3 linked regions of the Anolis sagrei genome follow. The protein of the gene in region 2 interacts with the protein of the main gene of each other region in a pairwise test. Links are inferred from orthologs where the notes say so. Each region holds a gene or a part of one and is shown on either strand. Other genes may lie near its edges.

Evidence for each region.
Region 1: the proteins of TRIP10 (region 2) and SH3BP1 interact in binary tests that used the Homo sapiens proteins (3 or more experiments, as listed by UniProt). The two-hybrid records come from large-scale screens. The link is inferred for Anolis sagrei from reciprocal best matches to the Homo sapiens genes TRIP10 and SH3BP1.
Region 3: the proteins of TRIP10 (region 2) and ARHGAP12 interact in binary tests that used the Homo sapiens proteins (3 or more experiments, as listed by UniProt). The two-hybrid records come from large-scale screens. The link is inferred for Anolis sagrei from reciprocal best matches to the Homo sapiens genes TRIP10 and ARHGAP12.

The regions. Positions count from the first base shown.
Region 1 is NC_090025.1:165,017,488-165,026,086, forward strand, and holds the start of SH3BP1 (SH3 domain-binding protein 1), read right to left. Parts: upstream 3,291-8,599; 5' UTR 2,950-3,290; coding exon 2,888-2,949; intron 1-2,887. UniProt on the Homo sapiens protein: GTPase activating protein (GAP) which specifically converts GTP-bound Rho-type GTPases including RAC1 and CDC42 in their inactive GDP-bound form.
Region 2 is NC_090022.1:171,013,513-171,022,061, forward strand, and holds the start of TRIP10 (cdc42-interacting protein 4), read left to right. Parts: upstream 1-5,075; 5' UTR 5,076-5,201; coding exon 5,202-5,225; intron 5,226-8,549. UniProt on the Homo sapiens protein: Required for translocation of GLUT4 to the plasma membrane in response to insulin signaling. Required to coordinate membrane tubulation with reorganization of the actin cytoskeleton during endocytosis.
Region 3 is NC_090026.1:112,231,309-112,239,554, reverse strand, and holds the start of ARHGAP12 (rho GTPase-activating protein 12), read left to right. Parts: upstream 1-5,081; 5' UTR 5,082-5,165; intron 5,166-8,246. UniProt on the Homo sapiens protein: GTPase activator for the Rho-type GTPases by converting them to an inactive GDP-bound state.

The sequences.
Region 1 (8,599 bases), on a different chromosome or scaffold from region 2:
GAGATGGCCAGGAGCAGGCATGAACAAACTTTAGCCCTTGATGTGGTTTATGGAAGGCCATAACACCTGGAGGACTGTAGTTTGCCCATGGCTGGTCTGGAGAGTGGAGGCTGTTCAGAAACTCTAATGAAATCCACTTCCATGGAATGATTGCTGGTCTGGAAGCCATGAAGCAGTACTTCCTATAGCTTTCTGGTTGCAACTTGGAAAGCAGAGACCACCCACTTGGACACTGCAGAGAAATCCAGACCAAGGAGTGGATGCTTCCAAGCTTGGCTGAGAGGGTTGCCATATTCTATACCAGGGGTCCTCAAACTTTTTTAACAGAGGGCCAGGTCACAGTCCCTCAAACTGTTGGAGGGCCGGATTATAATTTGGAAAAACATGAATGAATTCCTATGCACACTGCACATATCTTATTTGTAGTGCAAAAAACACTTAAAAACAAAACAATAATTAAAATGAAGAACAATTTTAACAAATATAAACTTATTAGTATTTCAGTGGGAACTGTGGACCTGCTTTTGGCTGATGAAATAGGATTGTTGTTGTTGTTGTGTGCTTTCAAGTAGTTTAGGTTGACCCTGAGCGTGGGCCAGGTAAATGACCTTGAAGGGCCATATCCGGCCCACGGGCCGTAGTTTGAGGACCCCTGTTCTATACTTTTCTCTCTAAAGCTACATCTATACTGGTAAATGTATTTATTTATTTACTTTATTTATACCCTACCTTTCTCTACCTTGAAGGGACCTCAAGGTGGCTTATATAGAGGCAATTATTCAATGCCTTAAACACATACAATTCAAAAAAATTAAATTAGATTAGATTAAAATTAAAACATATTAAACCTTTAAAAACATTCAATTCCATATTAAATGTCACAGAATCCTGCAGGTTGTAATTTTACAAGGTCTTTTGATTAATAATATTTATTTTTATTGATGTTTTATTGTTTTATCCCACTCCCACCTTCCCCTCCTTCTACATGCAATTTATACAGCAAACTACAGAAGTTACATTTGAAATATCAATCTCAGTCTTAATTTTCTACTCCATATCTTAGCACATTCTCTAATAATTCCTAACTGGTTCCCACATCCTCTTAGTTGTTGTAACCTTTTCAATTTTATCTATGTTTCTCCATTTGCAATTGGTTATTTCCACATTTAACATATTAACTATATACTTAGCCAGTGTCCATTTTGCTTCATCTTTCCAAACCCTCAGTAAAACAATTTGTGCACACGCTATTAATTTGTCAACCAATTTTTCTTTTTCTATATTCTTCATTCCTGTTATCTGTGCATGTAGTACATTTCTATTAACTATTATTGTTTGTAAATTTAACAAGGTCTTGAGCCTTCTCTGCCAAAGCATGCTGGTACCTCACCAAACTACAAACTCCCAGAATCCCACAGCATTGAGCCACAGCAGTTAAAGTGGTGTCAAACTCCATAGCTTTTGAACTGACAGTGTGGATGAGGCATGGGCCCTCCAGGTGTTTTGGAATTCAATTCCTACCATTCCTAACAGCCGCAGGCCCTTAAGATTAAGTGGCTGAGGGGAATAAGGAAAGGGCCTGAGGCTGTTAGGAATGCTGGGAGTTAAAGTCCAAAAGAAGCAGGGCTGTATTGCTTCTGCTGCTTTGTTCTTTCTGTGGTTTTGGAGTTCAACTCCCAGAATTTCTGACCATCGGACAAACTTACTGCAGTTTCTGGGAGTCTCTTCATCACATTAGCGAAAAAATCCACTTAAAATCCAGTTTCTGCCTCCTGCAGAATTTTGGGGTTTGTAGTTTAGTGAGGCTATTAAAGGCTCATCCCTAAACTACAAACCCCAGAATTCTGCAGGAGGCAACAACCAGATTGGCTGATACATTCATTTCTATTTTTCTCTATTAGCCTATTCTAGTCATTTCCCTCTAAGGTTGGTACACTGGGAAATGTCATAGAATCCTGTTAGTTGTAATTTTACATGGTCTTGAGCCTTCGCTGTTAAAGCTTGATGGTGCCTCACCAAACTAGAAACTCCCAGAATCCCATAGCATTGAGCCAAAGCAGTTAAAGTGGCATCAAACTTCATAGCTTCTGAATCGACAGTGTAGATGAGGCATGGGCAAACTTGGGACTTCCAGGTGCTTTGGACTTCAACTCCCACCATTCCTAACATCCTTAAGCGACTGAAGGGGAAAAGGAAAGGGCCCGAGGTTGTTAGGGAGTTGAAGTCCAAAACACTTGGAGGGCCCAAGAGATGCACCCTAAGAGGAAGCAGGGCTGTACTGCTTAAGCTGCTTCAAAACTTTGTGCTTAAGCGGTTGAGGAGGAAAAGGAAGGGGCCTGAGGCTGTTAGGAATGGTGGGAGTTGAAGTCTTAAGGTTATGCGGCTGAGGAGGAAAAGGAAGGGGCCTGAAGCTGTTAGGAATAGTGGGAGTTGAAGTCTTAAGGTTATGCAGCTGAGGGGGGAAAGGAAGGGGCCTGAGGCTGTTAGGAATGGTGGGAGTTGAAGTCCAAAACACCTGGAGGGCCCAAGAGATGCACCCTAAGAGGAAGCAGGGCTGTGCTGCTTCAAAACTTTGTTCTTTCAGCGATTTTGGGCTTCAGCTCCCAGAATCTCTGACCATTGGACAAACTTGTAGCGGTTTCTGGGAGTCTTTTAATCACACCTAGAGGAAAAAAAATCCACTTAAAATGCGGTTTCTGCCTCTTGCAGAATTCCGGGCTTTGTAGTTTAGTGAGGCTGTTAAAGGCTCCTCCTTAAACTACAAACCACAGAATTGTGCAGGCCGCAGAAACTGGACTGTAAGCGGATTTGTTTGCGAGTGTGCTGAGGCCACAAGTCCAAAAGAGCAACTTGGGGAATGTCTGAAAGCCAAGGCGCTTCTTCTTACCGTCCGCCGATGCCCGGGTGGCTGAGCTGCTGCCGCATCCAGTTGAACTGTTTCTTCATCATCTTGAAGGAGAGAGGAGAACCGTCCCAAGACCAGGATCCAGCCGGCCGGCAAGGGCTCCAGCCCACTTCTTCCCCCAGCCCTCCTTTAAGGCCCGCCAGCAGCGCCTCTTGCCGCCATCCCTCCTCTCCTCCTCCTCCTCCTCCTCCTCAACAGGTTTGCTTCCTTCTCATTATCTGGCCTTCCTTTCCCTCTCTCTTTGCGGTTTCCCTCCCTCTGCCTCCCCTCCTCCTCCTCCTCCCAGGTCGACTTCCTTCTCTTCCCCTCCACTTCTCTTTCTTTCTTCCTTCCTTCCTACTCCTCCTTTCCCCACCTCCTTGCTCTTCCCTTCTCCCCCTCTCCTCTACTCACCGCCACCTTTCTCTCTCTCTCTCTCTCTCTCTGTTTCTGATCAGGTAAGAAGGTCTCTGCCCGCTGCTCCTCTCAGTTCCTCTCACCACCCCATCGAAGACCTTCTTTTTTGGTTTTGTTTGGAGTATAAATAACTTCGGCCGAGCCTTAAAGGGGAAATATTATGACAGCAAACACGCAGCTCAGGCAGAACAAGCGACGTCTTCTGCAAGCGCTGGTGGTTGTAGTATTTTACTGCTTCCTACTTTTGTTTTCTCTCTTTCTCAGCATTGGCAGGCTGACATATCTGGGCTTGGGTTGTATGACTCCCCAGACGGCAGCTAGGAGTGCATCTACGCTGGAGAATTAATGCAGTTTCAACCCCGCTTGCACTGGCATGGCTCAGGGGCTATGGAATCCAGGGAGTTGGAGTTTTACAAGGTCTTCAGGCTTCTCTGCCAAAGAGTGCTGGAGCTTCATCAAACTGCAACTCCCAGGATTCCATAGTTCTGGGCCACAAATGGAATGTTGGTGGACAGGAAAAGAGATTTAAAGATGGGCTTAAAGCCAACCTCAAAAACAGTGGAATAGACAATGAGAACAGGGGAGCCCTGGCTCTTGAGTGCTCTAACTGGAGGTCAGCTGTGACCAGCAGTGCTGCGGAATTCAAAGAGGCATGAATGGAGGGTGAAAGGGAGGAATGTGACAAGAGGAAGGCAGTCAAGCCAACCCTGACTGGGACTGCTTGCCGTCTGGAAACTGTTGTCCTCACTGCAGGAGAACATGCAGATCAATAATAGGGCTCCACAGCCACTTACAGACCCATTGCCAAGACACCACAACTCAAAGACAATCATCCTCGAGCTACGAGGGATCGCCTGAGTAAGTAAGTAACTGGGGTACACTAAAGTGAGGTCAAATTCCATTCACGCTACAGTGTAGACCAGTGGTTCCCAACCTGTGGTCTGCGGACCACCAGTGGTCCCCAATACCATGTGACAACGAGAGCAACTAGTCTCGTAAAACCCTCTTATAATGCTGAAGCAAGGAGGCTGAGATGACAGGAAAGCTTAGAGGAGACAATGATGCTGGGGAAAATGGAAGGAAAAAGAAAGAGGGGCTGACCAAGGCCAAGATGGATGGATGGTATCCTTGAAGTAACTGGCTTGACTCCGAAGGAGCTGTGGGTGGTGATGGCCGACAGGCAGCTCTGGCAAGGGGTGGTCCATGTGGTCACGAAGAGTCGGAAGAGACTGAATGAATAAACAACAACAATGAGACCAAATGAGAAACTCCCTCCTGGGCACACAGAAGAGGGGACAACCTGGAAGGCGCTGAACAGGTTGCACTCTGGCACCACAAGATGCAGAGCCAACCTTAAGAAATGGGTCTACAAAATGGAGTCCATGACATGCAAGTGTGGTGAAGAGAAACCACAGACCACCTACTGCAATGCAATCTGAGCCCTGCCACATGCACAATGGAGGACCTTCTCACCGCGATACCAGAGGCACTCCAAGTGGCCAGCTCCTAGTCAAAGGACATTTAGTATAATGCTCAAATCCAAATGCATACAACTGTGTAGTAAAATTATTTATCTATACACATAATGGGTACTAGTATTTATAGTTCACCTGCAATCCAAGAGCACTCTGGACTCCACCAACAATGGCCCTGAACCTAACTTAGCGCACAAAATACTCAATATGCCCACATTTGAATACTGGTGGCTCTGGGGTGGACTTGGCCTTGACATTTGGGAGTTGTAGGTACTCAGATGTATAGTTTACCTGCAATCAGAGCACTCCGAACCCCACTGATGATGGAGTTTCAGGGGGTTAACCTGGCATGATGTGAGTTGTACTTCATCCACAACCTTATACATTTTGTAAAATGCAGAAATAACTTCTTCTAACAACCAGGACAACACCGGATACCCAAGTGTGTGTGTGTGTATACATACATATATTCCCAAAAGAATACGCTGATTTTGCGCTCTCTCTCTCTCTCTCTCTCTATATATATATATAGCAAAATCAGTGTATTCTTTTGGGATTTTTAAAACTGAATTTCTGAACCATGGGTGGTAGACTCTGGATACCCTCTTTCTTTTGGGCCAGGTCTCTTCCTTGTATTAATCTTGTGTGTGACAACACTGATCATCAAACAACACAACATACAATTATACAGACTCATGTCCTGTACTCTCCCAAGATCTCTAATTGCATCCTGCCCACACAGTTTCTAAGGCTGTTAATCCTCTGTTTTGAACAAAAAACTGCACCAAAACAAAATTCTCCATTAAGGAAATGCAGATATACAATGAGGTCTGAGTACGGAAATCTTCCTTATCTGGTCACTGTTTTATCTTGCTCAGTCCTCACTATGCTACTGAGTTTGCATGGCACACTGCCAGTTATACTTTCAGTTCTGTCCTCATAAGGACCAGAACCCTGATTATTTTTCCTTGCTTTAAAAAAAATACTTTATCAAGTTTGTAATAGCTTGCAGAGCACAAAATACTAAATCTAGAATTGCTGTTGTTGCATGCCTTGAAGTGATTTCTCACATGATGATCCCAAAGCAATGACCAATCTCATTGAGATAGTGAAGAGTAGAGACATCACGCTGGCAACGAAGATCCACATAGTTAAAGCAATGGTATTCCCCATAGTAACCTGTGGATTCGAAAGCTGAACCATAAGGAAGGCTGAGTGAAGGAAGATAGACACTTTTTGAACTGTGGTGATGGAGGAAAATTCTGAGAGTGCCTTGGACCGCGAGAAGATCCAACCAGTCCATACTTCAGGAAATAAAGCCTGACTGCTCACTGGAGGGAAGGATATTAGAGGCAAAGATGAAGTACTTTGACCACATCATGAGAAGACAGGAAAGCTTGAAGAAGACAATGATGCTGGGGAAAATGGAAGGAAAAAGGACGAGGGGCCAACCAAGGGCAAGAAGGATGGATGGTATCCTTGAAGTGACTGGCTTGACTCTGAAGGAGCTGGTGGTGGGGACAGCTGACAGGGAGCTCTGGTGTGGGCTGGTCCATGAGGTCACCAAGAGTCGGAAGCAACTAAACGAATAAACAACACAAAGATCACAAAGCCAATAGGGTTTCCTTGAACAGACAAGAGTTCTTTCTCCCACCCTGGACATTCTACAGATATATAAACCCCATTTTCCTAGTTTCCCACAGATCTCACAACCTCTGAGGATGCCTGCCATAGATGTAGGTGAAATGTTAGGGGAGAGTGCTTCTGGAATATGGCAGTATAGCCCGGAAAACTCACAGCAACCCAGTGATTCTGGCCATGAAAGCCTTTGACAATAAATAGGTTTTTTTTGGGCAGATTTTTTTCATAGCGGATTTGCCTTTGCTTCCTTTGAGGCTTAGAGAGTGTGACTTGCCCAAGATCACCCAGTAGGTTTCCATGACTGAGTGTGGATACAAACCCTGGGTTCCCAGTGTCCTAGTCCAGTGCTCAAATCACAACTGGCTCTTAGAATGCTGTTCATAATTCCATGCTTACCCTGCCAAACAATGGCACATTCAACAGCCCTCTTTTCCATCTCCGGAGTGTTCTGTTCAATGTGTGGAATTATAAATATGTGCTGAAAGAGCCACCCTCACTCCTTCAGCGTCATCTAAGAAAAAAAGCTGATTAGCAGTAGAAATGAGCTTGGAAAAAGTTTGAAGCACAGCCCTCAGGTTTTTCAGGCTATATGGCTATGTTCTAGAAGCATTCCCTCCTGACATTTCACCTGCATCTGTGGCAGGCATCCTCAGAGGTTGTGAATTCTAGGAGTTGTACAAGCAGTAACTTTTTAAAGCTGTGGTTCACAGTAATAACAGAGAAATGCAGCAGAGAAACTATCATAGAACGTAGAATAAGCAAGAAACACACTGTTGTAAGATGTGGCAAATGACCACCAGCTTGGGTAACTTTTGAAAATTTACCAATCCATTGAGGACCTGTTCACCATGGTAGCCAAATGGCATAGAAGGGGTGCGCTGGAAAGAGTGATTGGCTACCTTTTTCCTTCTGGCCCTAAATTCTTCAGGAATTAAGGGTACTGATACAGCAAAACAATTATTGGGTCTGAATGATAGTAGGAAGATAGTTTTTTTAAAAAATAATAATACTGGTAATCAGATTTTGTTCATTTTCCAGGAAGTTAAGAAGAAATCTATATAATATATGTATTGTATTGCATTGTACTGATGTGGATGAATGTTATTTGGTTTTTTTTATATGTAGGTTTGACACTGTGGTGAATATATAGATATATTAATGTATACTATATGCGAAACCATACACATATACATATGTATGGACCTAACACATATAGAGGGAACTACACAACGCTCAACTATTGTTATTGTTGTTTACTTTTATGTTTGTCTTGTCCAATCTTCTTTAATAAAAATGAATTTAAAAAGATTTTGTTCATTTTCATGGTTTCCTCCTTTCTGTTGAAATTGTCCACATGCTTGTGGATTTCAGTGACTTCTCTGGGTAGTCTGACATGGTGGTTGTTAGAGTGGTGCAGCATTTTTGTGTTGTCAAATAATATGCTTTGTCCAGGTTTTCATCAGGTGCTCTGCTATGGATGACTTCTCAGGTTGAATTAGTCTGAGTGCCTTTCATGTTCCTTGATTCGTGTTTGGTGGTCCCTATGTAGACTTATCCACAGCTGCATGATATACGTTGGACTCCTGCAGAGGTGAGAGGATCCCTCTTGTCCTTTGCTGAATGTAGCATTTGTTGGATTTTCTTGGTGGGTCTGTAGATTGTTTGTAAGTTGTGTTTCCTCATCAGCTTCCCTATGCGGTCAGTGGTTCCCTTGATGTATGTGAGAATACTTTTTCTCTGGGTGGATCTTTTGTCTTTACTCTCGTGGCTTGTTCTCGGTCTTCTAATTCTGTGGTGGAGTATCCATTGCTTTGTAGAGCCCAGTTTCAGTGGTTCAGTTCAGCTTGGAGATTATTTTTGCACAGTCTGCCAGGGCTTTAATTGTGCTTCTCTTTTTTCTTGGGTGATGTTTTTAGTTTTTATGTAATTAAATGTAATCTATTTGTTTGTTATGTGCCTTCAAGTTATTTCTGTGGTAAACCTATCACAAGATTTTATTGGCAGCATTTGTTCAAATGAGGTTTGCCATTGCCTTCCCCCAAGGCTAAGCATGTGTGATTTGGCCAAAATCACTGTGTGGGGGTTTCATATTAGAGTGGGAAATTGAACCCTGGTCTCTCAGTCCAGTGCCCACACTACTACATCTTAAGAGGCTTTCCAAGTTCATGAAAAAAATATGTTT
Region 2 (8,549 bases):
TTAAAATTATATTTTGAAGCAAGCTGCTTAGAGTGGATCAAAGATTGGATATTATTAAAGAACAAAAAATTACTAACTCTAGAAGGCCACGACCTAAGAACTGGGTGGCATGCCTACTTATGGCACAACAAAGCAAAAGTGGAAAAGAACTTTCGTAACCACTTTATCCGATCGGCTCTACTAAAGGTCTGGGACCAATACAAAGATAGGATGTACCCCAAGACACCGCTCTGGGTCTCCCCTCTCGAGGCTCACCAAAGGAGAGAACTGGGATGGGGCTTATGGCCCACATATAAAGATCTACTACTCAGGGAAAGAAAGGAAATTAGGATTAAGACTCAGGATGAACTAAAAACGCAGTATAACAACATCACCTGGTTACAACATTGGCAGTTGAAAGAACACTTTAAAAAAGACAACCAACTAGGCTTTATGGAAAACCCGACAGCTTGGGATAGGCTCCTGGACTCCCCTAAAAAATATATCACAAAAGCATACAAGATATTACTAGAATGGTCTACGGAGGGAGAACGCGTTAAAGAATATATGATAAACTGGGCTAGATTAATAGGGCGATCCATCTCTTTAGAGGAGTGGAGTCTAGTATGGAACAGTAAAACAAACTATTCCTATTCCTACTATCTGAAAGAACACTGGGTGAAAATGACGCATCAGTGGTATTTAACCCCAGCTAAGATAGCGAAGTTTTCCAAACAGATGTGCTATACATGTTGGAAATGTGGAGAACAGAAAGGGACTTATAGACACATGTGGTGGTCCTGTGTGAGAATTAACAACTTTTGGAAACTAATACACGAGAAGTGCCAACAAATAATAAAGAAAAATATCCCTTTTAGACCGGAATGCTTCCTGTTAGGACTAACAGGAGGGATGGGGGACAAAGGGGTAGAAAAATTGTTCATCCACCTAATAACGGCAGCCCGCTTATTACTGGCCAAGGTCTGGAGACAAAAGACATTACCAACGGAGGAAGAGTGGATAGAGAAAATACTAGATATAATGAACGCAGACCATCTAACGTATATCCTGTCAGCCTCACGCAACATGCCTATATCTCCAACGAACTGGACCCCGGTCAGAGAATGGCTTCGGGGAAAAAAGATAAATCTGCTAACAGTTTAATATCTACAAATAAAAACAAGACACAGGACTTATACAGGAGACTACGAGGAATTGAAATAGCTTAGAAATAGCAACAACCACAGGAAAGTTAAGCGATAGAAAATATAATGGAAATGTATAGAACTCTTTCGATATGCGAGAAGAAACATTTATGTATGCCTAAGTAAGAAGTTATAGTAAGATAAGATAGGGCTCCTTAGGACAAAGAAAACATACAAGACTAATGTACGAATAGCAAGAGAGAAATTTTATACAGAAATGCAGTAGTAGAGAGAGATGGAGGTCCAATAGTGGCAGCAAGCCACTTGTTTTTAAATATGTTTGTATTGTATCGTATGTTTTTTGTACTAGAGGATCTATGTTAGGTAGTTAGCTAGATAGGATCAATGTGGATTATGAATGTCATAGTGCGGTTGAATGACCTGTATTGTTTTCTATTGTCTTTCTATGTTCATTTAAAAAATTTAATAAAAAATTAATTAAAAAAAAAAAAAAAAAAAGACTGCAGACGACACTAAATTGGGAGGGATAGCCAATACTCCAGAGGACAGGAGCAGAATTCAAAACCATCTTGACAGATTAGAGAGATGATTGGCCAAAACTAACAAAATGAAGTTCAACAGTGACAAATGCAAGATACTCCACTTTGGAAGGCAAAACGAAATGCAAAGATACAGAATGGGGGACGATGCCTGGCTCGAGAGCAGTATGTGTGAAAAAGATCTTGGAGTCCTCGTGGACAACAAGTTAAACATGAGCCAACAATGTGATGTGGCGGCAAAAAAAGCCAATGGGATTTTGGCCTGCATCAATAGGAGCATAGTGTCTAGATATAGGGAAGTCATGCAACCTCTCTATTCTGCTTTGGTTAGGCCACACCTGGAATATTGTGTCCAATTCTGGGCAACACAATTCAAGAGAGATATTGACAAGCTGGAATGTGTCCAGAGGAGGGCAACTAAAATGATCAAGGGTCTGGAGAACCAGCCCTATGAGGAGCGGCTTAAGGAGCTGGGCATGTTTAGCCTGAAGAAGAGAAGGATGAAAAGAGATATGATAGCCATGTATAAATATGTGAGAGGAAGCCACAGGGAGGAGGGAGCAAGCTTGTTTACTGCTTCCTTGGAGACTAGGACGTGAAACAATGGCTTCAAACTACAAGAAAGGAGATTCCATGTGAACATGAGGAAGAACCTTCTGACTGCGAGAGCCATTCAGCAGTGGAACTCTCTGCCCCGGAGTGTGGTGGAGGTTCCTTCTCTGGAAGCTTTTAAACAGAGGCTGGATGGCCATCTGTCAGGGATGATTTGAATGCAATATTCCTGCTTCTTGGCAGGGGGTTGGACTGGGTGGCCCATGAGGTCTCTTCCAACTCTTTGATTCTATGATTCTGTGATTCTAACAGGAATAGGGTACAGGGAGCGCACAACTCCTCTGTTGCACCAGTTCCACTGTCTGCCAATTAGCTTCTGAGCACAATTCAAAGTGCTGGTTTTAATCTACAAAACCCTATATGGCTCCGGCCCAGTTTACCTATCTGAACATATTCTCCCCTATGAATCATCAAGGCTGTTCAGATCTTCTGGAGGGGCCCTGCTCTCAGTCCCACCACCCTCGCAGTTGCGTCTGGTGGGAATGAGAGACAGGGCCTTTTATGGGGTGGCCCCTGGGCTATGAAACTCTCTCCCGATTGAGATCAGTTCTGCTCCCTCCCTCCTGACCTTCCCTGTGGCTTCCTCTCACATATTTATATATGGCTATCATATCTCCTCTCAGCCTTCTCTTCTTCAGGCTAAACATGCCCAACTCCTTAAGCTGCTCCTCATAGGGCTTGTTCTCCAGATCCTTGATCATTTTAGTCGCCCTCCTCATGATGATTAGAGTAAAGTAATTTGGGGTCATTTCAGTGCAGTCAACCACATATGTGGACTGAGTTGGACATGATTTTATCTTGATGAACTGACTTTTATGTATTTTAGTCTACATGTGTTTAATTTATTGTTGACTAGCTGTCCCCTGCCACGTGTTGCTGTGGCCCAGTCTGGAAAATAAAGTAATGTGAAAGTGTTGGTTTCTAATATATTTAAGCTTGTGGGTAAACAGTATTTCTTGTTGTTTCTTTGTCAATGTTGATGTGGAGATTGTCTGGTTTGCCTGCTCTGGAACATGCAACATATAATTGCCCTTCTTTAGAGGTCACTTCCAAATTATAATACTATATTTGAGTGTATGTGAATCATATATATCTATCAATATCTGTGGCTGGATGGCTCTTTGTCAGGAGAGCTTTTCTTGCCCTGGTGATGGGAATTGGACTGGGTGGCCTTAAGTATGGGGGTTCTGTGTGGGAGGTTTGCTCCAATTCTCTCATTGGTGGGGTTCAGCATGCTCTCTGATTGTAGGTGAACTATAAATCACAGTAACTACAACTCCCAAAAGTGAAGGTCTATTTCTCACAAACTCCATCTGTGTTCATATTTGGGCATATGGAATATTCGTGCCAAGTTTGGTCCAGATCCATCATTGTTTGAGTCCACAGTGCTCTCTGGATGTGGGTGAACTATAATTCCCAAACTCAAGGTCAATGTCCACCAAACCTTTCCAGTTTTTTCTGTTGGTCATGGGAGTCTTGTGTGCTAAGTTTGGCCCAATTCCATTATTGGTGGAGTTCAGAATGCTCTTTGATTGTAGGTAAACTATAAATCCCAGCAACTACAACTCCCAAATGTCAAGGTCTATTCCCTCATATTTGGGCATATGGAATATTCGTGCCAAGTTTGGTCCAGATCCATCAATGTTTGAGTCCACAGTACTCTCTGGATGTGGGTGAACTATAATTCCCAAACTCAAGGTCAATGTCCACCAAACCTTTCCAGTTTTTTCTGTTGGTCATGGGAGTCTTGTGTGTCAAGTTTGGTTCAATTCCATCGTTGGTGGGATTCAGAAGGCTCTTTGATTGCTGGTGAACTATAAATCCCAGCAACTACAACTCCCAAATGACAAAATCAATTTTTTTTAGTGAAGGATATGCATTGGGTTGTTAGGTGTCTTGTGTCCAAATATGGTGTCAATTCATCCAGTGGTTTTTGAGTTATGTTAATCCCACAAACGAACATTACATTTTTATTTATATAGGTGAACTATAAATCCCAGCAACGACAATTCCCAAATGACGAAATCAATTTTTTTTGAGTGAAGGACATAAATTGGACTCTTAGGTGTCTTGTGTCCAAATTTGGTGACAATTCCCCCAGTGGTTTTTGAGTTCTGATGGCAGCACGAACTAACATTATATTTTTATTTATATAGAAGATTGGTTGTGGGGGGGGGGGGGGCAAAATACTGTTTGCTTACCGTTGAAAATTACCTCTGCTTGCTTGACATGCCTTCTTCCTCTTAGCACACTTCTCTTTTTCGCCCTCTATTTGTGTCTCTTTGAATTCCACAGCACTGTTGGTCACAGCTGACCTCCAGTTGGAATGCTCAAGGGCCAGGTCTTCCCAGATATAGAAACCTCCCTTGCCTAGTTTCCAGCAAACCTCACAACCTCTGAGGATGCCTGCCATAGATGTGGGCGAAACGTCAGGAGAGAATGCTTCTGGAAGGTGGCAAGAGAGCCCGGAAAACTGACAACAACCCAGTGATTCTGGTCATGAATAGCTCCCCCCACCACCACCTTTCAACAGGCTTTGAAGCCCAAGGATCCAGGCTCCCCCAAAGAGACTGTTGATTCCCAATGAGCCCAAGTGGTGGTGCTGAGCTTTGAAAGGAAGAGAGAAGGAGAGTTTGGAAGTTGCCTCCCCAAGGACGGAGCCCCCTCCATTGGCATGGCTCTCCTCTTGGGAAAGGGAAGGGAGGGAGGGAGAGATTGAGGGAGGGCCTCCCCTTGGCCAGGCAAGGCAGCCCCGGCTCGGGCCTGCCTGCGCCTTTAAGGCCGCCGCTCGGGGCGTGTCCGGGGCAGGCGGCGGAGCTGGTGGGGCCCCGGGAGTGAGTGGGACTCCTTCTCGGGAGGGCGGTGGAAGCGGCTGGGGCTTCGGGAGGACGCGGCTGCTGCCAGCATGGACTGGGGCACGGAGCTATGGGTAAGCTTCCTTTGGGCGGGCTCCCTGCTCCCCTGCTCTGGGGGGGGCTCTGCGCCCAGCGCCCTCGCCCCGCTCCCCCCCCGCCACCCCCAGACTTTGGCCCTCTTCCCTCGGCTTCCTTCCAGCCACTCTGCCTCGCCTCCCTCGCCCAGGTTCTTGAGCAAGCCCTCGCCAGGCGCCCTGCTCTTGCCTTCAAAGCTTTGGCTTTTCCCAGGCACGGATTTGTTCGAGTTCCCTTCCCCACTCCGCCCCAAATGCTCCTCTTCCTCCCCGGTCCTTGGCTCGCCCTCTTCTCTCTCTCCCTCGCTCTCTTTCCTTTCCCCCTTCTCTCCCTTCCTTCCCGCTTTCCTTCCCTCCCTCTTCCCTTCCTTCCTTACCTCCTTCCTTCCTTTTTTCTTTCTTTCCTTCCTTCCTCACCTCCTTCCTTCCTTCTTTCCTTTTCTTCCTTCCTTCCTTCTTTCCTTCCTCTCTCATTCCTTCTCCTTCACTTTCCTTCCTCCTCCTTCCTTCCTTCCTTCTTTCTTTCCTTCCTCTCTCCCTCTACTTCATCTTCCTTCCTCACCCTTCCCTTCCTTCCTTTTTTCCTTTCTTCTTTGCCTTCCTTCCTCTCTCCCTCCCTTCTTTCCTTCCTTCTTTCTTTCTTTCCTTCCTCTCTCCCTCCCCCTCTCCTTCCTCACCCTTCCTCCCTTTTTTCCTTTCTTCTTTTCCTTCCTTCCTTCCTCTCTCCCTCCCTTCTTTCCTTCCTTCCTTCTTTCTTTCCTTCCTCTCTTCCTCCCCCTCTCCTTCACCTTCCTTCCTCACCTTTCCTTCCTTCCTTCCTTCCTTCCTTCCTTCCTTCCTTCCTTGCCTGCCTGCCTGCCTGCCTGCCTGCCTTCCTGACTTCCTCTCTCCCTCCCTCTCTCCTTCACCTTCCTTCCTCACTTCCTTCCCTTCCTTCCTTTTTTCCTTTCTTCTTTGGCTTCCTTCCTCTCTCCTTCCCGCCTCCTTCCCTCCTTTTCTTTCTTTCCTTCCTCTTTCCCTCCCCCTCTCCTTCACCTTCCTTCCTCACTTCGTTCCCTTCCTTCCTGTTTTCCTTTCTTCTTTGCCCTCCTTCCTTCCTCTCTCCTTCCCTTCTCCCTCCCTTCTTTCTTTCCTTCCTCTCTCCCTCTCCCTCTCCTTCACCTTCCTTCCTCACCCTTCCTTCCTTTCCTTCTTTCCTTTCTTCTTTGCCTGCCTGCCTTCCTTCCTTCCTCTCTTCCTCCCTTCTCCCTTCTTGCCTTCCTTCCTGCCTTCTTTCCTTCCTCTCTTCCCCCCTCTCTTTCACCTTCCTTCCTCACTTCCTTCCCTTCCTTCTTTCCTTTCTTCTTTGCCTTCCTTTCCTTCCTTTCTTCTTCCTCCTCCCCTTCCTCACTCTTTCACCTTCCTTCCTCACCTCCTTTCCTTCCTTCCTTCCTTCCTTCCTTCCTTCCTTCCTTCCTTCCTTCCTTCTGTCCTTCATTCTTTCCTTCTTTCTTCCTTCCTCTCTTCCTCCCTCCACCTTCCTTCCCTCTTTCCTTCTTCTTTTCCTCCTTCCTTCCCTTCCTTCTCTCCCTTCCTTCCTTCCCTTCTTCCCTCCCTCCCTCCCTCCCTTCCTGCAGAATGAATGCACTTTCACACACATTCAACTGCCATGGTTCCATGCTACGGGATCAAGAGAGGTGTAGTTTGATGAGGAATCAGCACACTTTGTCAGCGAAGGCTGAAGACCTGGTTGAACTGCAACTCCCGGGGTTCTGTAGCCTTGAGCCAGTTTGGCACCACTTGAAAGGCCATTGCTGCGTGCTATGGAATCATGGGAGTTGAGATTTATCAAGTATTTTGCCTTCTCTACCATACTGGTGCCTCACCAAAGGACACCTCTTCAGATGGAGCTATGGCAGTTCAAAGTGGTGCCAAACTGCATCCGTTCTACAGTGTAGGAGCTTCTCCTGAATGCATTTCTGTCCTTGGCTCGCTGTCTTCTCTCTCCTTCCTTTCTCTGCCCCCCATGTGCCTTTTTTCTTTTCGAGAGGGCATAGGTGGGCTCCACTTCCAATTCGTGGCCTTCCCACCTCACTTGATGGGATATGCAATCTGCTTGTAAAGGGAATATGTGTATTATTTATTTATTTATATTATTATTATTATTATTATTATTTTAATGTCATTTTGATAATGTTGTTGTTGTCTCTTGTATATGCTTTGATTTCATTGCTGTATTATGTTGTCCGGGCTTGGCCCCATGTAAGCCGCTCCGAGTCCACATCGGGGAGATTTATTTTATTTATTTATCGTGTCAGGCAACACGAGTATTACATTTTTGACAGAACAAACAAATATACAAAAGACAGAGTTTGCAAGCTTGGTAGTTGTTTAAATGTCCTTTGACCAGTATCTGGCCACTTGGAGTGCTTCTGGTGTTACCGCAAGAAGGTCCTCCATTGTGCATGTGGCAGGGCTCAGGTTGCATTGCAGCAGGTGGTCTGTAGTTTGCTCTTCTCCACACTCGCACGTTGTGGATTCCACTTTGTAGCCCCATTTCTTAAGGTTGGCTCTGCATCTCATGGTGCCAGAGCACAGTTTGTTCAGCGCCTTTCAAGTCGGCCAGTTTTCTGTGTTTCCAGGGGTGAGTCTCTCATTGTGTATCAGCCATTGATTGAGGCTCTGGGTTTGAGCCTGCCACTTTTGGACTCTCGCTTGCTGAGGTGTTCGAGCAAGTGTTTTTGTAGATCTTAGAAAACTATTTCTTGATTTAAGTTGTTGGCGTGCTGGCTGATGCCCAAACAAGGGAAGAGCTGGAGATGTCTCTGCCTTGGTCCTTTCACTATTGGCTGCTACTTCCCGACGGATGTCAGGTGGTGTAATACCGGCTAAGCAGTGTAATTTCTCCAGTGGTGTAGGGCGCAGACACCCCGTGATAATGCGGCATGTCTCATTAAGATCCACATCCACTGGTTTAGTGTGGTGAGATATGTTCCACACTGGGCATGCATACTCAGCAGCAGAGTAGCATAGCACAAGGGTGGATGTCTTCACTGTGTCTGGTTGTGATCCCCAGGTTGTGCCAGTCAGCTTTCGTATGATACTGTTTCTAGCACCCACGTTTTGTTTGATATTCAGGCAGTGCTTCTTGTAGGTCAGAGCACGGTCCAGAGTGACTCCCAGGTATTTGGATGCGCTGCAATGCTCCAGTGGGATTCCTTCCCAAGTGATCCTCAGAGCTCAGGATACTTGTCTGTTCTTGAGATGAAAAGCACATGTCTGTGTTTTAGATGGATTAGGGATCACTTGGTTTTCCCTGTAGTAGGCAGTAAGAGCAACTAGAGC
Region 3 (8,246 bases), on a different chromosome or scaffold from region 2:
ATATATATAAAAAACCAAGATTATGGCAACCAGAGTGATTGATAACTGTTAAATAGAGGGAGAAAATGTGGAGGCAGTAACAGCCTTTTGTATTTCTAGGTGCAAAGATTACTGCATATGTAGACTGCAGCCAGGAAATCAGAAGACGTTTACTTCTTGGGAGGAGAGCAATGACCAATTTTGATAAAATAATGCTAGGGAAAATGGAAGGAAAAAGGAAGAAGGGCTGACAAAGGACAAGAAGGAGGGATGGTATTCTTGAAGTCACTGACTTGACATTGAATGAGCTGGGGGTGGCAACGGCCAACAGGGAGCTCTGGCGTGGGCTGGTCCATGAGGTCACAAAGAGTCAGAAGCGACTGACTGAATGAATAAACAACAACAGTATGGAATACATCGCACCACGTTAAAATGGTGAATGTGGCTCTTAATGAGACATGCTGCGTTATCACACTATGTTTACATCCCACACTACTGGAGAAATTATACTGTTTAGCTGGCATTGCACCACCTGACATCAATCAGGAAGTAGCAGCCAATAATGAAAGGACGAAGGTAGTGACATCTCTGGTCCATCCTCTGTTCAGATATCAGCGAAGATGCCGACAGCTGAAATCAAGAAACAGCTTCCTAAGATCGAAAGAGATACTCACAGGAACACCTCAGCAAGCTAGAGTCCAAAAGTAGCAGGTTAAAACCCTGCACCTTAATCAGTGGTTGAGATCAGTGAGAAACTCCCTCCTGGGCACACAGAAGATTGGGCGACCTGGAAGGCACTGAACAGACTGCTCTCTAGTATCACGAGGTACAGAGCCAATCTTAAGAAATGGCGCTACAAAGTGGAGCCCACGATATGTGAGCGTGGAGAAGAGCAAACCACAGACCACTTACCATAATGCATCTTAAGCCCTGCCACATGCACAATGGAGGACCTTCTAGCAGCAACACCAGAGGCACTCCAAGTGGCCAGCTACTGGTCAAAGGACATTTAATCAACTACCAAGCTTGCAAACTTTGCGTTTTGTTTGTTTGTTTGTTAAAAAATGCAATGCAACTGTTTGGTCTGCCCCTGACACGATAAATAAATAAAATGCTAAGGAATGGTAAGACATGTAGTTTCACAAGGTCCTTAGCCTTCTCTGCCAAAGAGTGGTGGATGCCTCACCAAACTAAACTCCCATTATTTCCTAGTATTGAATAGTGGTGTCAAACTGCATTGATTCTACAGTGTAGATCAGTGTTTCTCAACCTTCCTAATGCCTCGACCCCTTAATACAGTTCCTCATGTTGTGGTGACCCCCAACCATAAAATTATTTGCGTTGCTACTTCATAACTGTCATTTTGCTAATGTTATGAATCGTCATGTAAATATCTGATATGCAGGATGTATTTACATTCACTGGACCAAATCTGGCACAAATACCTGATACGCCTAAATTTGAATACTAGTGGAGTTGGGGGAAAATAGACCTTGACACTTGGGAGTTGTAGTTGATGGGATTTATCATTCACCTACATTCAAAAGCATTCTGAACCTCACCAATGATAGAACTGAGCCAAACATCCCACACAGAACCCCCCATGACCAACAGAAAATACTGTATTTTTTGATGGTCTTTGGTGACCCCTGTGACACTGGTGTAGATGAATCTGTGCCATCATTTATATACAGTAGATCATACTATTATATAGATAAGAGTCAATCTTCTGTTCCTAATGAGGATATGCTCCAAATTAGATAGCTAGGAAGTATAAGAGGAAGCTGATTTATATCAGATTTATATCAGACATTCCATATGTCGGAGGAGGAGAAGGTGAAGGAGAAAGCTCTCCAAGGTTTCAGACAGGAGCTTTTGCAGTTCAGCCAAACCTTTCCAGACCTGGACCTTTTGCAACAAACATCCCAAACGATCATTGAATTTCTATAAAGAGGCATTGAAAGATCAAGGGAAGGCTATGGAGAAATTTATATCTTTTTCTATAGCTTGGATATAGTCCAGAATAAGGACTGATTTAAACTGGCTGCATCAAGCCTCAACGTGTTCAAGATTGTGAGCCAATATAAATCCCCCCTATGAGCCAGTTTGGATTACATCAAGAGGAGATCCTCTTGATCCTTCACATTTGGAGAGGACGTGCGGGGGACAAAAGTTTTGCACAGGAAGGCATCCGGCACATGAATTTCTCACTTGCGGCTTAATGTGGCAAAACACCCCCACACATGCATCAGCTCAGGGAAAATCAGGCAGCGTTCTTCTGACTCACTTGCAAAGGAATTAAATTATACTATTCACTTTATATCAGCACAAAAGAGGCAAATCACAGCACCCTGGATACTGAGAAAATAGTCGTGGTCTATTAAAAAGCCACACACAAGGAGGTTATCCCTTTCAAGTAAAACTTTAGGAACATATTTATCACAACATGGGCTTTGTAGACTGTGAATTGGAACTCGGGGCCCCCCAATTTCACTAATCTACCTTTGAAGTTTGTTTAAAATCAGTGACAGATTGAAGTGTTCTGAAAAGCAAAGTGATGCTAAAGTGAGAGATTCAGTAGGACGTTGCCAGCTATCCCTAGAGCTTTGGGATAATGGTTTCTTATCACACAAAAGGTGTTGATTGTCATATCTACTGTTAGATTCTTGGTATCTGTGAGTTTCCTGAACCAATGGCGCGCATTAATCATGTAATTATTACTGTCTGTATAGTTTGTATGTAATTTTTCTCTGGTCTTGCTTTCTATTCTTTATGCATTTGGTGTCTGTATGTTCTGTACATATGTGTACACACACATATACAAAGACACACATGTGTATATATACACACACGCACACATATATACACATATGTATAGGTAAAGGCTAGTTGTGTTAGACTCTGGGGGATGATGCTCACCTCCATTTCTAAGCTGAAGAGCCGGTGTTGCCCGTAGACACCCCCAAGGTCATGTGGCTGGCATGACTGCATGGAGCACTGTTACCTTCCTGCTGGAGCTCCCCTGAGGCAGGCCGTTCTTCTGTTTCCGCCATCTGCTTCTCTGGCCCTGGAACTCAACAAAAAAGCTCCTGTTTTGTAGCAGGTTTCCTATGAGGCGGGTGAGGTGATAGTCCTTTGTGATGTTATACATTTTTCTCAGGAGGAGGCAGTGGTTCACAGTATCATAAGCTGCTGACAGGTCTATGAAGACAGCTCCTGTGATCTGCTGCCTTTCAAAGCCATCTTCTATGTGCTGAGTCAGGTTCAGCACTTGCGATGTGCAGCTTTTGCCTTTCCTGAAGCCAGCTTGCTGTGGAATCAGACAGGGGTCTATTTTTTCCAGAAGCTCTCTGAAGCTCTAGGTGCTCTTACTGCCTATTACAGGGAAAACCAACTAATCCCTAATCCATCTAAAACACAGACATGTGCCTTTCACCTTAAGAACAGACAAGCATCCCGAGCTCTGAGGATTACCTGGGAAGGAGTCCCACTGGAGAATTGCAGCGCACCCAAATACTTGGGAGTCACTCTGGACCGTGCTCTGACCTACAAAAAGCACTGCCTGAACATCAAGCAAAAAGTGGACGCTAGAAACAATATCATACGCAAGCTGACTCGCACAACCTGGGGATCACAACCAGGCACAGTGAAGACATCTGCCCTTGTGCTATGCTACTCTGCTGCTGAGTACGCATGCCCAGTGTGGAACACATCTCACCACGCTAAAATAGTAGATGTGGCTCTTAATGAGACATGCCACATTATCACGGGGTGTCTGCGCCCTACACCACTGGAGAAACTACACTGCTTAGCCGGTATTGCACCACCTGACATCCGCCAGGAAGTAGCAGCCAATAGTGAAAGGACCAAGGCAGAGACATCTCCAGCTCATTCCTTGTTTGGGTATCAGCCAGCACGTCAACGACTTAAATCAAGAAATAGTTTTCTAAGATCTACAGAGACACTTGCGGGAACACCTCAGCAAGTGAGAGTCCAAAAGTGGCAGGTTCAAACCCAGCACCTCAATCTGTGGGCGATACCAAATCAGAGACTCCCCCTGAGCACACAGAAGACTGGGCGACTTGGAAGGCGCTGAACAGACTGCACTCTGGCACCACGAATTGCAGAGCCAATCTTAAGAAATAGGGCTACAAAGTGGAATCCACGACATGCGAGTGTGGAGAAGAGCAAACCACCGACCACCTGCTGCAATGCACCCTGAGCCCTGCCACATGCAAAATGGAGGACCTTCTTGCGGCAACACCAGAGGCACTCCAAGTGGCCAGATACTGGTCAAAGGACATTTAATCAACTACCAAGTTTGCAAAATTTGTGGGTTTTTTTATCTGCTTGTTTGTTTTGTTCTGTTAGAAATGCAATATAATGGTATGGTTGCTGATGACATGATAAATAAATAAAGCATAATACAATATCAGTATTATATATTACTATATTGTACTATACCATTATATTGTAATATTATTAGCAATATTACATGTAATATAAAATATATAATTATATCATATTATTATTACATTGAATTGCATTACAATATAATAATTGTATATATAATATATTATACTACATTATGTTATTATATCAGATGCACCTTGAGTGTTTTTTGTTTGTTTGTTTAACCTAACAATACAGGGCTTCTATGACATTACAGTGTGACAGTACATTTGGTTCCGTTTTAATTGCCATGGCAACATCCCAATGGGCTTCTGGGGTGTGTAGTTTCCCCAAGGGCTTTCAATGCCTGTTGCCATGGCCGTTGCTATGACAGAGGAATGTGAATAACCCTCCTCCCCCCCTTTCAGAGGTAGTGGGAGGGCTTAGAAGTATTTTAAGTGTGTGGTTTCCCCAAACTGGTTGTGTGTACTTTGTACTTTTGCAGAGATCCCTTTTTCCCGCCTTCTTACCTTGCTTCTCCCTCGTCACGTGACGTGGACCTCTGCGGCCTCTCACCCGCACGCGTGCGCGCGCCGTGCCCTGAGGCTGACTCTGGGCGAGAGAAGGGGAGGCGTGGCTTCGTGGAGGGGAGGCGTGGCTCCGGGGGGCGTGGCTTTGGGGCTGGGTCGCGAGGAAGGAGGCAGCGAAGGGGGCGTGGCCCGAGGAGAAGGAAGCAAGCGAGCAAGGAAGCAGGCAGGCAGCGCGAGCTGGGCGCAGAAGGAGACGTTTCCTTGGTGAGAGGGGAGAGGGCGGTTGGAAGGAGGGGGGGGGGCCTTGAGGCGAAAAGGCGGTTTCTAGGGGGCCCTTCCTTCCTTCTATTTATTTATCTGGAGAGCTTGGGGAGAGGGAGGGGGCTCTGCCAAGCTACACACATAACCCACACATAGGGAGACCCCCCCCCAAAACACACACACACACAACACTACAGACGTGGAGTCCCTACTCACACATAGTATATACATATACATACACCTATGGATATACAAACAACAGCCACACACAAGCTGTTCAACTCAAGACATAGAGACCCCCCCCCCCCAAGTAACACACATACACAACACTACAGGCATGGAGTCCCTACTCACACATATTAAATACATATACACACACCTATGGATATACAAACAACAGCCACACACAAGCCTATACACAGCTTCAATTCAAGACATAAATAGAGACCCCCTCCCCAAAACACACATACACAACATTACAGACATGGAGTCCCTACTCACACATATTATATACATATGCATACACCTATGGATATACAAACAACAGCCACACACAAGCCCATACACAGCTTCAATGCAAGACATAAATAGAGACACCCCCCAAAACACACATACACAACATTATGGATATACAAACAACAGAGCTTCAACTCAAGACATAAATAGAGACACCCCCCAAAACACACATACACAACACTATGGATATACTAACAACAGCCACACACAAGCCCATACACAGCTTCAACTCTAGACATAAATAGAGATCCCCCCCAAATAACACACATACACAACACTACAGACATGGAATCCTTACTCACACATATTATATACATATACACACACCTATGGATATACAAACAACAGCCACACACAAGCCCATACAAAGCTTCAACTCAAGACATAAATAGAGATCCCCCCCCCCAAATAACACACATACACAACACTACAGACATGGAGTCCCTACTCACACATATTAAATACATATACACACACCTATGGATATACAAATAGCCACACACAAGCCCATACACAGCTTCAACTCAAGACATAAATAGAAACACCCTCAAAAATAACACACATACACAACACTACAGACATGGAGTTCCTACTCACACATATTATATACATACACCTATGGATATACAAACAACAGCCACACACATAGCCCATACACAGCTTCAATTCAAGACATAAATAGAAACACCCTCAAAAATAACACACATACACAACACTACAGACATGGAGTCCCTACTCACACATATTATATACATACACCTATGGATATACAAACAACAGCCATACACATAGCCCATACACAGCTTCAATTCAAGACATAAATAGAGACATCCCCCAAAACACACATACACAACATTATGGATATACAAACAACACAGCTTCAACTCAAGACATAAATAGAGACACCCCCCAAAACACACATACACAACACTATGGATATACTAACAACAGACACACACAAGCCCATACACAGTTTCAACTCAAGACATAAATAGAGACACCCCCCCAAAACACACATACACAACACTATGGATATACTAACAGCCACACACAAGCCCATACACAGCTTCAACTCAAGACATGAATAGAGACCCCCCAAAAAAGAAATAACACACACAACACTACAGACATGGAGTCCCTACTCACACATTATATACCTATACATACACTTATGGATATACAAACAACAGCCACACACAAGCCTATACACAGTTTCAACTCAAGACATAAATAGAGACCCCCCCCCCCAAATAACACACATACACAACACTACAGACATGGAGTCCCTACTCACATATATTATATACATATGCATACCCCTATGGATATACAAATACACACAAGCCCATACACAGCTTCAACTCAAGACATAAATAGAGACACCCCTCAAAAAATAACACACATACACAACACTACAGACATGGAGTCCCTACTCACACATATTATATACATATGCATACACCTATGGATATACAAACAACAGCCACACACAAGCCCATACACAGCTTCAACTCAAGACATAGGGACACCCCCCAAAACACACATACACAACATTACAGACATGGAGTCCCTACTCACACATATTATATACATGTACATACACCTATGGATATACAAATAGCCACACACCAGCCCATACACAGCTTCAACTCAAGACATAAATAGAGACCCCCCCCCCCCAAACCAACAACACACAGAGCCTTAACTCACACACATCTACCCGCATACTGAGCCACTAAACCAAGCATGGGCAAACTTGGGCCCTTCAGGTGTTTTGGACTTCAACTCCCACATTAGGAATTGTGGGAGTTGAAGTCCAAAATACGTGGAAGGCCCAAGTTTGCTCCATGCCTGCTCTACTACACCAAACACACACAGTCCTTACATACTCTACTCATGCACACATGGACCCCCATACACATGACATAACACGACACACAAAACCTTGACTCATACACATCTACCTGCATACTGAGCCCTTAAACCAATCATGGGCAAACTTGGGCTGTCCAGATGTTTTGGACTTCAACTCCCACAATTCCTAATGTTAGGAATTGTCGGAGCTGAAGTCCAAACACCTGGAGGGCCCAAGTCTGCTCATGCCTGCCCTAAACGCACACAGATACCTTACACACACATACACAAAGAGAACAACAACACATAGGCAGCCCCCTACACACACAGAGCCTTTACTTACACACACACATATAGAGCACCCCTGCACACAAACTATGGAGACCCTACACAGAAACATGTCCCCCAACTCTTCTCCAGTCACTTTCATTCGCTGAGAATCTGACAGGTGTCCTTCTCAGCTTTGCTTGCCCCACATGAACAAGCAGTGTAGTACTCCAAGGTTAAGGAAACCACTGCCACACACACTTTTTCCAATTTCATCCTTATCAAGATAAGTTGCCATCTCCATTCTAGCTACAGGTGGAATAACGAAAGGTGCGAGAGGCGAGGCTCAAACCCACTCTGGTTAACAATACCGGAAGCTCGCCAGGCAGATTTAAAGGACACTTAGTGTAATGTGTTGTCAAAGGCATTCATGGCCAGAATCACTGG